3 linked regions of the Danio rerio genome follow. The protein of the gene in region 3 purifies or fractionates together with the protein of the main gene of each other region. This does not show direct contact. Links are inferred from orthologs where the notes say so. Each region holds a gene or a part of one and is shown on either strand. Other genes may lie near its edges. The genes, in order: abl1, pdgfrb and nck1b.

The links.
Region 1: the proteins of nck1b (region 3) and abl1 purify together in Homo sapiens (affinity purification with western blotting; 3 studies listed by BioGRID). This does not show direct contact. The link is inferred for Danio rerio from reciprocal best matches to the Homo sapiens genes NCK1 and ABL1.
Region 2: the proteins of nck1b (region 3) and pdgfrb purify together in Homo sapiens (affinity purification with western blotting; 3 studies listed by BioGRID and IntAct, with this or other methods). This does not show direct contact. The link is inferred for Danio rerio from reciprocal best matches to the Homo sapiens genes NCK1 and PDGFRB.

What each region holds. Positions count from the first base shown.
Region 1 is NC_133180.1:78,533,874-78,537,529, forward strand, and holds part of abl1 (tyrosine-protein kinase ABL1), read left to right. Parts: intron 1-383; coding exon 384-568; intron 569-990; coding exon 991-1,143; intron 1,144-1,528; coding exon 1,529-1,618; intron 1,619-1,860; coding exon 1,861-1,989; intron 1,990-2,067; coding exon 2,068-3,629; 3' UTR 3,630-3,656. UniProt on the Homo sapiens protein: Non-receptor tyrosine-protein kinase that plays a role in many key processes linked to cell growth and survival such as cytoskeleton remodeling in response to extracellular stimuli, cell motility and adhesion, receptor endocytosis, autophagy, DNA damage response and apoptosis.
Region 2 is NC_133189.1:3,709,014-3,712,669, reverse strand, and holds part of pdgfrb (platelet-derived growth factor receptor beta), read left to right. Parts: intron 1-2,786; coding exon 2,787-2,995; intron 2,996-3,656. UniProt on the Homo sapiens protein: Tyrosine-protein kinase that acts as a cell-surface receptor for homodimeric PDGFB and PDGFD and for heterodimers formed by PDGFA and PDGFB, and plays an essential role in the regulation of embryonic development, cell proliferation, survival, differentiation, chemotaxis and migration.
Region 3 is NC_133199.1:3,531,841-3,535,496, forward strand, and holds part of nck1b (SH2/SH3 adapter protein Nck1), read right to left. Parts: intron 1,968-3,656; coding exon 1,249-1,967; intron 1-1,248. UniProt on the Homo sapiens protein: Adapter protein which associates with tyrosine-phosphorylated growth factor receptors, such as KDR and PDGFRB, or their cellular substrates. Maintains low levels of EIF2S1 phosphorylation by promoting its dephosphorylation by PP1.

The sequences.
Region 1 (3,656 bases), on a different chromosome or scaffold from region 3:
CTGCAGCAAAACAGCCCCACAACATGATGCTGCCGCCCCCATACTGCACAGTTGGGATGGTGTTGCTAGGCTTGTAAGCTTTCCCCTTTGTCCTCATATTGCTCGTTATGGCCAAACAGTTCAATCTTACTCCATCAGAGCACAGGACTTGTCTCCAAACATTAGTCTTTTCCCAGTGTCAATTATCTAATGGTAATCTGGCTTTGTTGTTGATTCCGGCTTGTTGATTTTCCCATGTTGCTCATCATCGAGAATCTTTTTTCCACTCTTGATCTTCTAACCAAAATCTGATCCATATTTGGCCGCCTCATCCAGCTAAAATCTTGACTATAGTGGGACTTCACTACAATTAGAGTGAATTGACGGTCTGGTTTATCTTTCAGGGATCTGGCAGCCCGTAACTGCTTGGTCGGGGAAAACAACCTGGTTAAAGTGGCAGATTTTGGGCTAAGCCGGCTGATGACGGGAGACACATACACAGCCCACGCTGGAGCAAAGTTCCCCATTAAATGGACTGCGCCGGAGAGTCTGGCCTATAACAAGTTCTCCATCAAGTCAGACGTGTGGGGTACGCATGGACAGACAAAAGAACACACTTCCACTGTTACAAATGATGTTTACAGTAGTTTTATGTTTTCATTGTGTTTTCTCTCATTTACCTTCTTTTGTCTCAACATTTAACTCATTTTATTTAGTTGTCTTACTTTTTTCAAGTTATTTATAAACTGTACTGCAAATGTAGTTAATGGAGCCTCTCGTTTTTGTGGCTTCAGGCATTGTTGGGATATATTTGAATGCTGTTTTAATGCATAAACAATTAATAAATTGCTATGCATATTATTGATGGAGAAGGTATTACCTTTTCAAAATTATATTTGTATATAATATAAAATAATTAATTAAAGTGTTTTCGCCATGTCCACTGAGCCATCTTTCCACATTCAGACATGCATGTGTGAGAAACTGATCCTCTGATTTGACCTCCTTCAGCATTTGGAGTCCTGCTTTGGGAGATCGCCACCTATGGGATGTCTCCGTATCCAGGAATCGACCTGTCTCAGGTGTATGAGCTGCTGGAGAAAGACTACCGCATGGACAGACCCGAGGGATGCCCAGAGAAAGTCTATGAGCTCATGAGGGCCTGTAAGCAGATCCTTCTACACAATCTCTGAAAGAAAGAGTAGACAAAGTGACACCCTATCATGCACACTGTGCAATGCAAGTGTTGTTTAGCTTTTATCAGCTCAGCGCAGGTTTCATTTTAACGTCCTGTGCCCTGTTTATATGGCAAATCTGCTTTGGTGCAATTGAAGCTTGCTTCTAAAGGTAATTGAATCTGCTTGGTTTAATGCATATTACACTCAAAGCACACCCATGACTCTTTAACGACGTAAGGACATCCCTTTTAGACCAGTTTTCCCATCCTTAAAATTGTAAAAGTGGATTCAGACTTGCTCCAAGTGCATTTATATCGTTAAAATGGAGCCCAGTGAGTAAACCTGTATGACTGTAGTGTTTCTGTCTTTAGGTTGGAGGTGGAACCCTGCCGAGCGCCCTTCTTTTGCTGAGACCCATCAGGCGTTCGAGACCATGTTTCAAGAGTCCAGTATCTCTGATGGTATGAGCTTTCAAAATCTTTAATCAAACTGTTTTGAATAATAACACCATGTGTGTGTATTTATGGCCATGTGGAGTCTGATTTGAGGTTACTGTCTTACTGTCAACTCTAAATTACAATTAGTAACGGATTCAGATGTTCCCTATCTATGCATTCTGCACTATTTTACATTAATAATGCATTCAGTTTACTGTAAATCTGTACCTCTCTGGTGGCTCATCCTCATTCTTGTTGCATTGCAGAGGTGGAGAAAGAGTTGGGGAAAAAAGGAAAGAAGCTGACCCTGGGACCAATACAGCAGGCGCCAGAACTTCCAACTAAAACCAGGACACTACGAAGACCTACAGACGGCAGGGATGGGGACAGTCCCGGTAAGCTCTTCTCTCTCAGACCTCTGCTTATTTTCGTTATTATCGAGCAGTTGTACTGATGAACTAAACTTTCTCCAGACGCAGCCGAGGCCGAGGTCACTGGACCCCCGATGATGCCGAGGCCACTCCTAGATAGCAACCTGAATGAAGATGATCGGCTCCAGTCTAAAGATAATAAGGATAAATTTCGAATGAATCCCTTCAGTTATATTAAGAAAAAGAAGAGGACGGCTCCGGCGCCCCCAAAGCGCAGCAGCTCCTTTGGGAAGATGGACGGACACCTAGACCGTAGAGGATTGGGTACTGACTGCAGGGAGGATTTCAGCAACGGGTCTTCCACCAATGATGCCTTAAACAGCATTGACCCTTGCAAATTAGTTGGGTCAAACAGTACCACGACCATCGGGGTCACCAACGGAGCTCCAGTGTATCCCGGTCAGCTCTTCCCATCTCATCCACGGAAAAAGGGCACTACATCGGGTGGTGGAGGGAAGCTTGCCACGACTCCACCTCCAGAGGAGGACTCCATGTCAAACTCCAAACGCTTCCTACGATCTTCTTCTTCCTCCAGCATGCCTCCAGGCTCTGATCGCTTCGAATGGAAGTCCGTAACCCTGCCGCGGGACATTCAGTCAACACACTTTGATTCTAACACATTCAGAGGCAAGCCAGCTTTACCTCGTAAGAGCTGCATGCCACGAGGTGGCACGCTTACCCCACCACCACGCCTTCCCAAGAAAAGTGAAGATGTTTCAGACGAAGTCTTCAAGGACTCTGAGTCTAGTCCTGGATCAAGTCCTTTAACTCTGACTCCCAAGCTAGGCCGCCGACCCCAAACAGAAAGCTCCAAAACTAGTGCCTTACAAACAGAGGTATTAAAACCCAATGTGCTTCCACCTCTTGGAGACGAAGGCAGACCTCGAAGACTCAAACTGTCCTCTGAAATCCCAGGACAGAGAGAGCGGGAGAAGGGGAAGTTTGCGAAACCCAAACCCGCTCCCCCTCCTCCTCCGGTGTCCAGTGCCAAATCTGGAAAGACCTCAAGGAGTCCGACTTTTGAGGTGTCTTCAGATACCAAAGTCAAGAGTTCACTAGACTCCGCAGATCAAGGCAAGGCTAGTCTATCCCAAGAAAGTGCTAAAAAGTTGCCCAAAAATGGCTCAAAGGTAAACCCCTCGAAGGCAGGTGCGACTGCTCCTCTACCTGGAATGGGAGCCAGTCCTGTGGTCGGGGATCCGGGATCCAGCTTCATCCCACTGATGACGACGCGACGTTCACTGAGGAAGGCTCCAGCACGGCAGCCATCAGAGCGACTCTCCAGCTCCACCATCACTCGAGACATGCTGTTGGAGAGCTCTGAGCTCCTGCGTACCGCCATTGCACGTGTCTCCGAGCAGACCGGCAGCCACAGCGCTGTCCTGGAGGCGGGGAAAAATCTGTCCAAGTACTGCGTCAGCTACGTGGAGTCCATCCAGCAGATGCGGAACAAGTTTGCTTTCCGCGAAGCCATCAATAAGCTGGAGAGCAGCCTGCGCGAGCTGCAGATCTGCCCCGCGGCCACCGGCACCGCAAACACTCCGCAGGACTTCTCAAAGCTGCTGTGCTCCGTCAAGGAGATCAGCGACATCGTGCAGAGGTAGCAGAGAACGGCGCCACTGGAAACACAG
Region 2 (3,656 bases), on a different chromosome or scaffold from region 3:
GATTCATGGATGGATGTATAAATGAATGATATATAGATTGATGGATGGATGGATTGATGGATGTATTAAAGAATGATATATGAATGGATGGATGGATGGATGGATGGATGATGGATGGATGGATGGAGGATAGACAGACAGACAGACAGACAGGTAGATAGATGGATGGATGGATGGATGGATGGATGGATGGATTGTTACATGCATGGATGGATGTATTAATGGATGATATATAGATGGGTGGATTGATGAATGGATGGATGGATGGATGGATGGATGGATGGATAGATGCATGGATGGATGGATTAATAAATTATGTGTAGATGGATTCATGGATGGATGTATAAATGAATGATATATAGATGAATGGATGGATGGATTGATGGATGGATGGATGGATGGATGTATTAAAGAATGATATATGAATGGATGGATGGATGGATGGATGGATGATGGATGATGGATGGATGGATGGATGGAGGATAGACAGACAGACAGACAGGTAGATAGATAGATAGATAGATAGATGGATGGATGGATGCATGGATGGATGTATTATTGGATGATATATAGATTGATGGATGGATGAAGGATATATAGATGGATGGATTGATAAATGGATGAATGATATATAGATGGATGGATGGATGGATGGATTAATAAATGATAAATGATGGAAACTGGATAGTGAACTAGATTATCACAATATTCCACCGTTAATGTCTCTCATTCATATTTAATGTGAGCTGTTTGCGAGACGAGTAAATGTAAAGCTGATGAGTTTGCACATGCTCTCAGAAAGCACTATATAAACACACACACACACACACACACACATCAGCGTAATTGATCAGGATGTGTGTCCATCAGCCTGTGCAGAGTGAGGACTGTACATCATCTAAGCGCTGTGGCTGAGCTGATTAAAACACCCAAGAGCTGCACACACACACACACACACACACACACACACACAAACTGCTGAATGAATAATAAATACAGCACATATGCTAAAGCAGCTATTAGCACACACCTCCGCCTGTCACTGCACACTTGTTCATGGGTGGAGGCACTTATGAGCGCTCTGCTGGATATTAGCAGCTCAGTATAGTGTATTATCCTGTGGGTTTGTTCTGGTTTGCAACAAAAGTGCAAATTTGACTTTTGATGTCTTTTAATGATGGGTTCTAATGGCATATTAGCGTACTATGTTTGCTCTATGTGTACAGTACACACACTATGTGGACTCTGTGCATTATATGAAGCAATGGACCCTTTTCACATTTCTGGAATTTACTCTCAGCCCCATAGACATTGCATTAGAAACACCTCTCACATCAGGTAATTTGTTTTTTGTAATTTGACGCAAAGATAATATAATGCGTACGTAAATACATATAAATGTACATTTTTTTAGAAGATTGTGATGACCGATAAACGCGTCATAACATAGTTTCTGTTTAACGCAGAGCAGATGTTTTTCAGCACATTTCTAAACATAATAGTTTTAATAACTCATTTCATTCATTCATTCATTTTCTTGTCGACTTAGTCCCTTTATTAATCCGGGGTCGCCACAGCGGAATGAACCGGCAACTTATCCAGCAAGTTTTTACACAGCGGATGCGCTTCCAGCCACAATCCATCTCTTGGAAACATCCACACACACTCTCATACACTACAGACAATTTAGCCTACCCAATTCACCTGTACCGCATGTCTTTGGACAGTGGGGGAAACCAGAGCACGCGGAGGAAACCCACGCGAACGCAGGGAGAACATGCAAACTCCAAACAGAAATGCCAGCTGAGCCGAGAATTGAACCAGCGACCCCACCTTCTTGCTGTAAGGCGTCAGCACTACCTACTGCGCCACTACCTTGCCCCTAACTCATTTCTAATGCCAGCTAGTGTGTGCTGTGCAGGTAAACCTCCCTCTTCTGACCTCTAAAGGTGCTCTAGCGACATATGATAGAGGCCATGGTCTTTAGCCTCCTTGGTAGAGCAACCCACTCCCATGCAGAAGGTCGCCGGCTCGATACTTGCTCAGAACGTGTTGGGTGGCGTAGGACTGGCGGGGTTACATTGGTGCTGTGACCCGGATGGGAGTGAGGTTTATGGGGGAGAGTGTAACGGAGGCCAGCTAGTGTGTACTGTGCAGGTAAACCTCCCTCTTCTGGCCTCTAAAGGTGCTCTAGCGACAGATGCTAGAGGCCATGGTCTTTAGCCTCCTTGGTAGAGCAACCGACTCCCATGCGGAAGGTCGCCGGCTCGATACCAGCTCAGAGCGAGTTGGGTAGCGTAGGACTGGCGGCTTTACACTAATAACTGATTTATTTTCTCTTTGTCATGATAACAGTAAATAATATTTGACTTGATATTTTTCAAGACACTTCTATACAGCTTAAAGTGACATTTAAATGCTTAACTAGGTTAATTAGGTTACCTAGGCAGGTTAGTGCATTTAGGCAAGTTATTGTATAACAGTGATTTGTTCTGTAGCAAGTCGAGAAAAAATATAGCTTAAAGTGGCTAATAATTTTGTCCTTAAAATGTTATTAAAAAAATTTAAAACTGCTATATTCTAGCTAAAATAAAACAAATAAGACTTTCTCCAGAAGAAGAAATATTATCAGAAATACTGTGAAAATTTCATTGCTCTGCTAAACATCATTTGAAAAATATATTTAAAAAAAAAGAAAAAAAACTCAAAGGGGGGCTAATAATTCTTACTTAAACTGTACATCATTTTTCATAATATTCATAGAGTGCACTGTTTTTTTTCACTAGGTGCAGTAACAGAAGTGCTGTATGGAGCCCTCTAGTGGAGGATCCAGAGAGCGTCACCATCCAGACTAATGTCACCTACAACAGCACACGCAAGATCCACCAGGTGCTTAGTCAGGTGACGCTGGTCCGGCCGCAGTTGCTCACCATCCGCTGTGAGGCCAGCAATGAGAGAGGAGCCCGAGCCCGGGACATCAGACTGGTCAACAGCAGTAAGTACTGTCTGCGCATGTGTGTGTGTCCTATGAGGGTTTAAGGGTAGGGCTGGGGAAAGAAGACAGAATATATAATGTGTGCAGTATGAAATCATTATGTCTACGGAGTGTGTGTGTGTGTGTGTGTGTGTGTGTGTGTGTGTGTGTGTGTGTGTGTGTGTGTGTGTGTGTGTGTGAGACAGGAGGGTGTTAAAGCCTCTTTGTGTGAATGTGTGAAATGAGGACCTACTGAATGGAGCGGCACCCGTGGAGATCAAACACAGAGTGACTTTGGTTTGAATCCCATGATCCTCTAGTGCTGCTTTCATTAGCGCCCTGAATGCGGCGTGAAACCCGTTGAGCTCATTGAGAACCCGATACTGGTTCAGCCGTGAGAAAACCCCTGAAACACAAACACCTGCCAAAGCTGCGGGCTTCCTATTGACTTTATATATGAGCCTACAGTCCAGTATATGAGCCACACTGCCTCGATTTAAAGTCAACATCATCCCTTCAGTTTTCTCCCATTGCCATGGTGCTGTTCTCACAGATTGCACTTGTATAATCATAATTTCATTAATATAAAGGAGGGAAAGAAAGAAATTATTGCATTGCATGACAGATCCTTTTTGATTTATCTATCAGTAATTAATAGGTTACTTAAATATTTCTCTATATG
Region 3 (3,656 bases):
ACACAGCTATATGCTAAAAATGGAAAAAATACAGATGACAAAGTGTCACACTTTTAACGTGAAAAACAAGATCAAACCTTTTTTTCTAGTTTACACGGATCTGACTAAAAGTGCTGTATTATGCATGCCCTGCCAATTGTTTTCAATGTTGGTTAGTTTGTTAAGGCTTTTTTTCTAAGTTAGCATTTTTAGGGCTCTCCAAAAATCTCGTGTACATGAACAGCCAAACAAAGCGTTTAAATAATTGTTAAAATTGTGGGTGCAACTCAATCAACTCCCTAACTCCTGAGGTTTAGTAGGTCATTTAGTAGGTTTAGTGCAGGGGTGCCCAAACATTTCTTATCGAGTTACCAAACTAGATTGAGGCTAGTGGGTCATAGGTAAATATAGCTGCCATAATTACTTCCCAATTTAATAAATAGTATTTAAAAATAACTAAAACACATTGCTTTGTACTAACTAATGCAGTATACATTTATTTTCTGTTTTATAATGAACTTACTACAGTAAAACAGTCTCATTTATAACAGAATGGAGATACACTAGTCAGGCTGCACCTGATTTTGCCTTGATTTGCTCGCAGATGTCCTCTGCATTGTCCTCTATTTGTCGCATGATAGTAATTACATTTTTACAAAGTATTTATTTATGTTTTTATAATTAAACATTTAATTTTAGTTGGCTTTTTTGTAGCTCAGCATTAAAACAAACATTCACAAAAGATTACTTTAAACTAGAAATGACAATCTCTGTAAAAATCATTCGCCCCAACCCTGCCCATCATTCACACTCCTTTTTCTGATGGGATGGTGGGCCAAATCAAAGGTTACAAGGGCCAACTTTGGCTCGTGAGCCCTAGTTTGGGCATCTCTGGTTTAGTGGATTAGTAGGTTGTGGACACAAATTTGGCACTGGTAAGAAAAAATAAGAAGCTTGGTTCAGTTCACATTGGGAAACTGAACGTGCCATGAAAACCATCCTCGTTGTACAACATCAACACTGGAATTTATAAACAACATCAGAACTTCGCAAGAGGCACCATGAAAATCGTGGTGCTTTCTAAACAGAAGAATTTTGCAATAAAGAGTCTTAAATATGGGCTCTTCTGGGAATAAACTCCTAGATCATTGCCCTGACTACTGAACAAGAGATCTGATTGAGAAGCACCCTCTCATTCCAGGCACAAGGTAGAACTGACTAACAATTGAATGACGTGAGAATAGAAGTATAAAACTTCTGTCTACTTACCGAGGACTCGCTGTCCCGGATGAGGAAGTCTCCCTCTGAGCCCCTCTGGTTAAGCGCCACCTCTGCTTGGTGGCGTGTCACCTTCCCGTAGTACCACTGCTTTCCTGCGAAGCGGCCGCTGGATGAAGGCTCAATGTAGTCACAGTCAGGTGTGGGTGGCCCCGGCATGCTGGCCGAGTTGTGCGACTCCTGCAGAACAGTCACGTAGTTCTTCGGAACAAGTCCCATCTGCCCATCTGACTTACGACACTTCCACCACTCTGGGTCATTTTCTGGCTTCTCCACTACATCCATAACCTCCCCCTTCTCAAAGTTCAGCTCTTCATCGTTACCCGAGCTGAACGGGTAGAGTGCTTGTACTGTGTGCAGCACACGGTTGCCATTCGCACTTTGAACAACAGCAGACAGTTTGTCTGAAAGTCCAGCAGAATCATTGCTCGCTGATCCATCTGCGTCCTCTGTCACGTAGTTGGAAGGGAACCATCCCGAACGGCCGTTGTAGCTTCCCCTCCACCAGCCATCACTGCACTTCTCCATCACGATAACCCTCGTTCCTTTAACCAACGATAACTCATCTTCCCGCTCGGCCGCATAGCTGAACTTGACCAGCGCAGGGAGGTTAAGGTCATACAGACGTTCACCGTTGTCTGGGTAGAAATCAGAGTCTGCATTGGACGCTGTTTCACGCATGCCTGTTTTCCTTTTCACCTTTCCAATCCCTGCAAACATAAAAAGAGGTACAATTAAGTATTTCACTATTTAGTCCTTTCTTTGCACTCTACTTCTTGGGGTTTCAGCCTAAGATGTTTTCAATGCGTCTAAATAGGTCAGATGTTAACGTTGTGGAAATGAACATGGTGCATTTCCAATGTGGCAGTTGCTGTTCAAGTTTGTTTTATTTGCCATCAAATCATAATCTTTTTAGTAAATTTGTTGCTTCATTCTGGAATTGGCATAAAGGGTACACCTCTGTGAAGAAAACTCCAGGTACTACTTGTCGAAAGTGGGCAAAACAAGGTAGGGCTGTGCAATTAATCAAAAATCTGATTTTGATTTTGCCTTCTAACGATTATGAAAAACCATTAATCAAGATGAACAATTATTCCATCATATCCAGCTACCATAAGTAATCGCTACCTACTGCCTTCTGTTTTTATTATCAATAAAAAACAAAAGGACAAAATCCCTCACTGCTCTTGACTGAAGGACTTTTGTAGCTAAAGTGTTTTTCTTACTGTGAAGATGCTTAAAGCACAGTTTAAACATAACAGATTTAATAACTCATTTCTAATAACTAATTTCTTATATCTTTGCTATGATGACAGTACATGATATTAGACTAGATAATCTGAAGATACTAGTATTCAGCCTAAAGTGACATTCAAAGGCTTAATTAGGGTAAATAGGCAAGTCAATATATAACAGGAGTTTCCTCTGCAGACAATTAAAAATATGAATTGCTTAAGGAGGTTAAAAATAGAGCTATTAAAATAGGTTTCCAAAATTTAAACCTGATTTTTTCTAGCTGAAATAAAACAAATAAGCCTTTCTTGAGAAGAAAAAATATTATAGGAAATACTGTAATTTTAATTTATATATAAAAATAAATTCACAGGAGTGTGAATAATTTTGACTTCAACTGATAACCGTTTTGAATAATCGTGATTATGATTTTTCCCAAAATCGAGCAGCCCTAAAACAAGGTACAAGACAGTGTAATGTTTACCTGCTTCATTGTAAATTTTACTATTGCCTCTAATAGTTGACTACAAGAGTTCCTTTTATAGCAACCAAAAGCTCATTATGACGCTAGCAATCCAATCGCTTTGGACAATCTCAATAATCATTTGCAAATAAGCACCATTTCCATCCAGGGAGACAAAGAGAAAAAATTGGTCACTTCCTGATACACTGGCGTTAAATATCAGAGTTTTCTGCAGTAGGAGAAGCCACTGTGGCCCTGTTTTTCTTATATAATGAACTACTTCCAACTCAGTAGATGAAACTCACTGATTGCAAATTTCACTTAATAGCAACACGTTTAACTAAAGTCATTTTTCAATGAAAACTATGTTGAGACAGTCTCTTCAGGGAGTAATTTCATCACTCCGCACCCTGCACTCATTCCATTCTTGTCGAAATGATCTGTGAAACCAAAGAGCATTGTATTTTGATACAGGCACCAACAGGCAGGGCATGAGTAAAAGGAGAACTTGTCCAAACACATGTTACAGTGCGGCGAGGCTTGTGCGTTCACACTGACAGGGGTACACAGTAGCTATCAGCTCCCGTCTGCTCGAGCAATGAGTCCTCTCTTAGTAAACATGGGCACTGGTCCAGTTTCAAAACCAGCCAATCACAAACATCATTCCAGCACTCATCAGATTATGCTCAGGATTTTGGTCTTC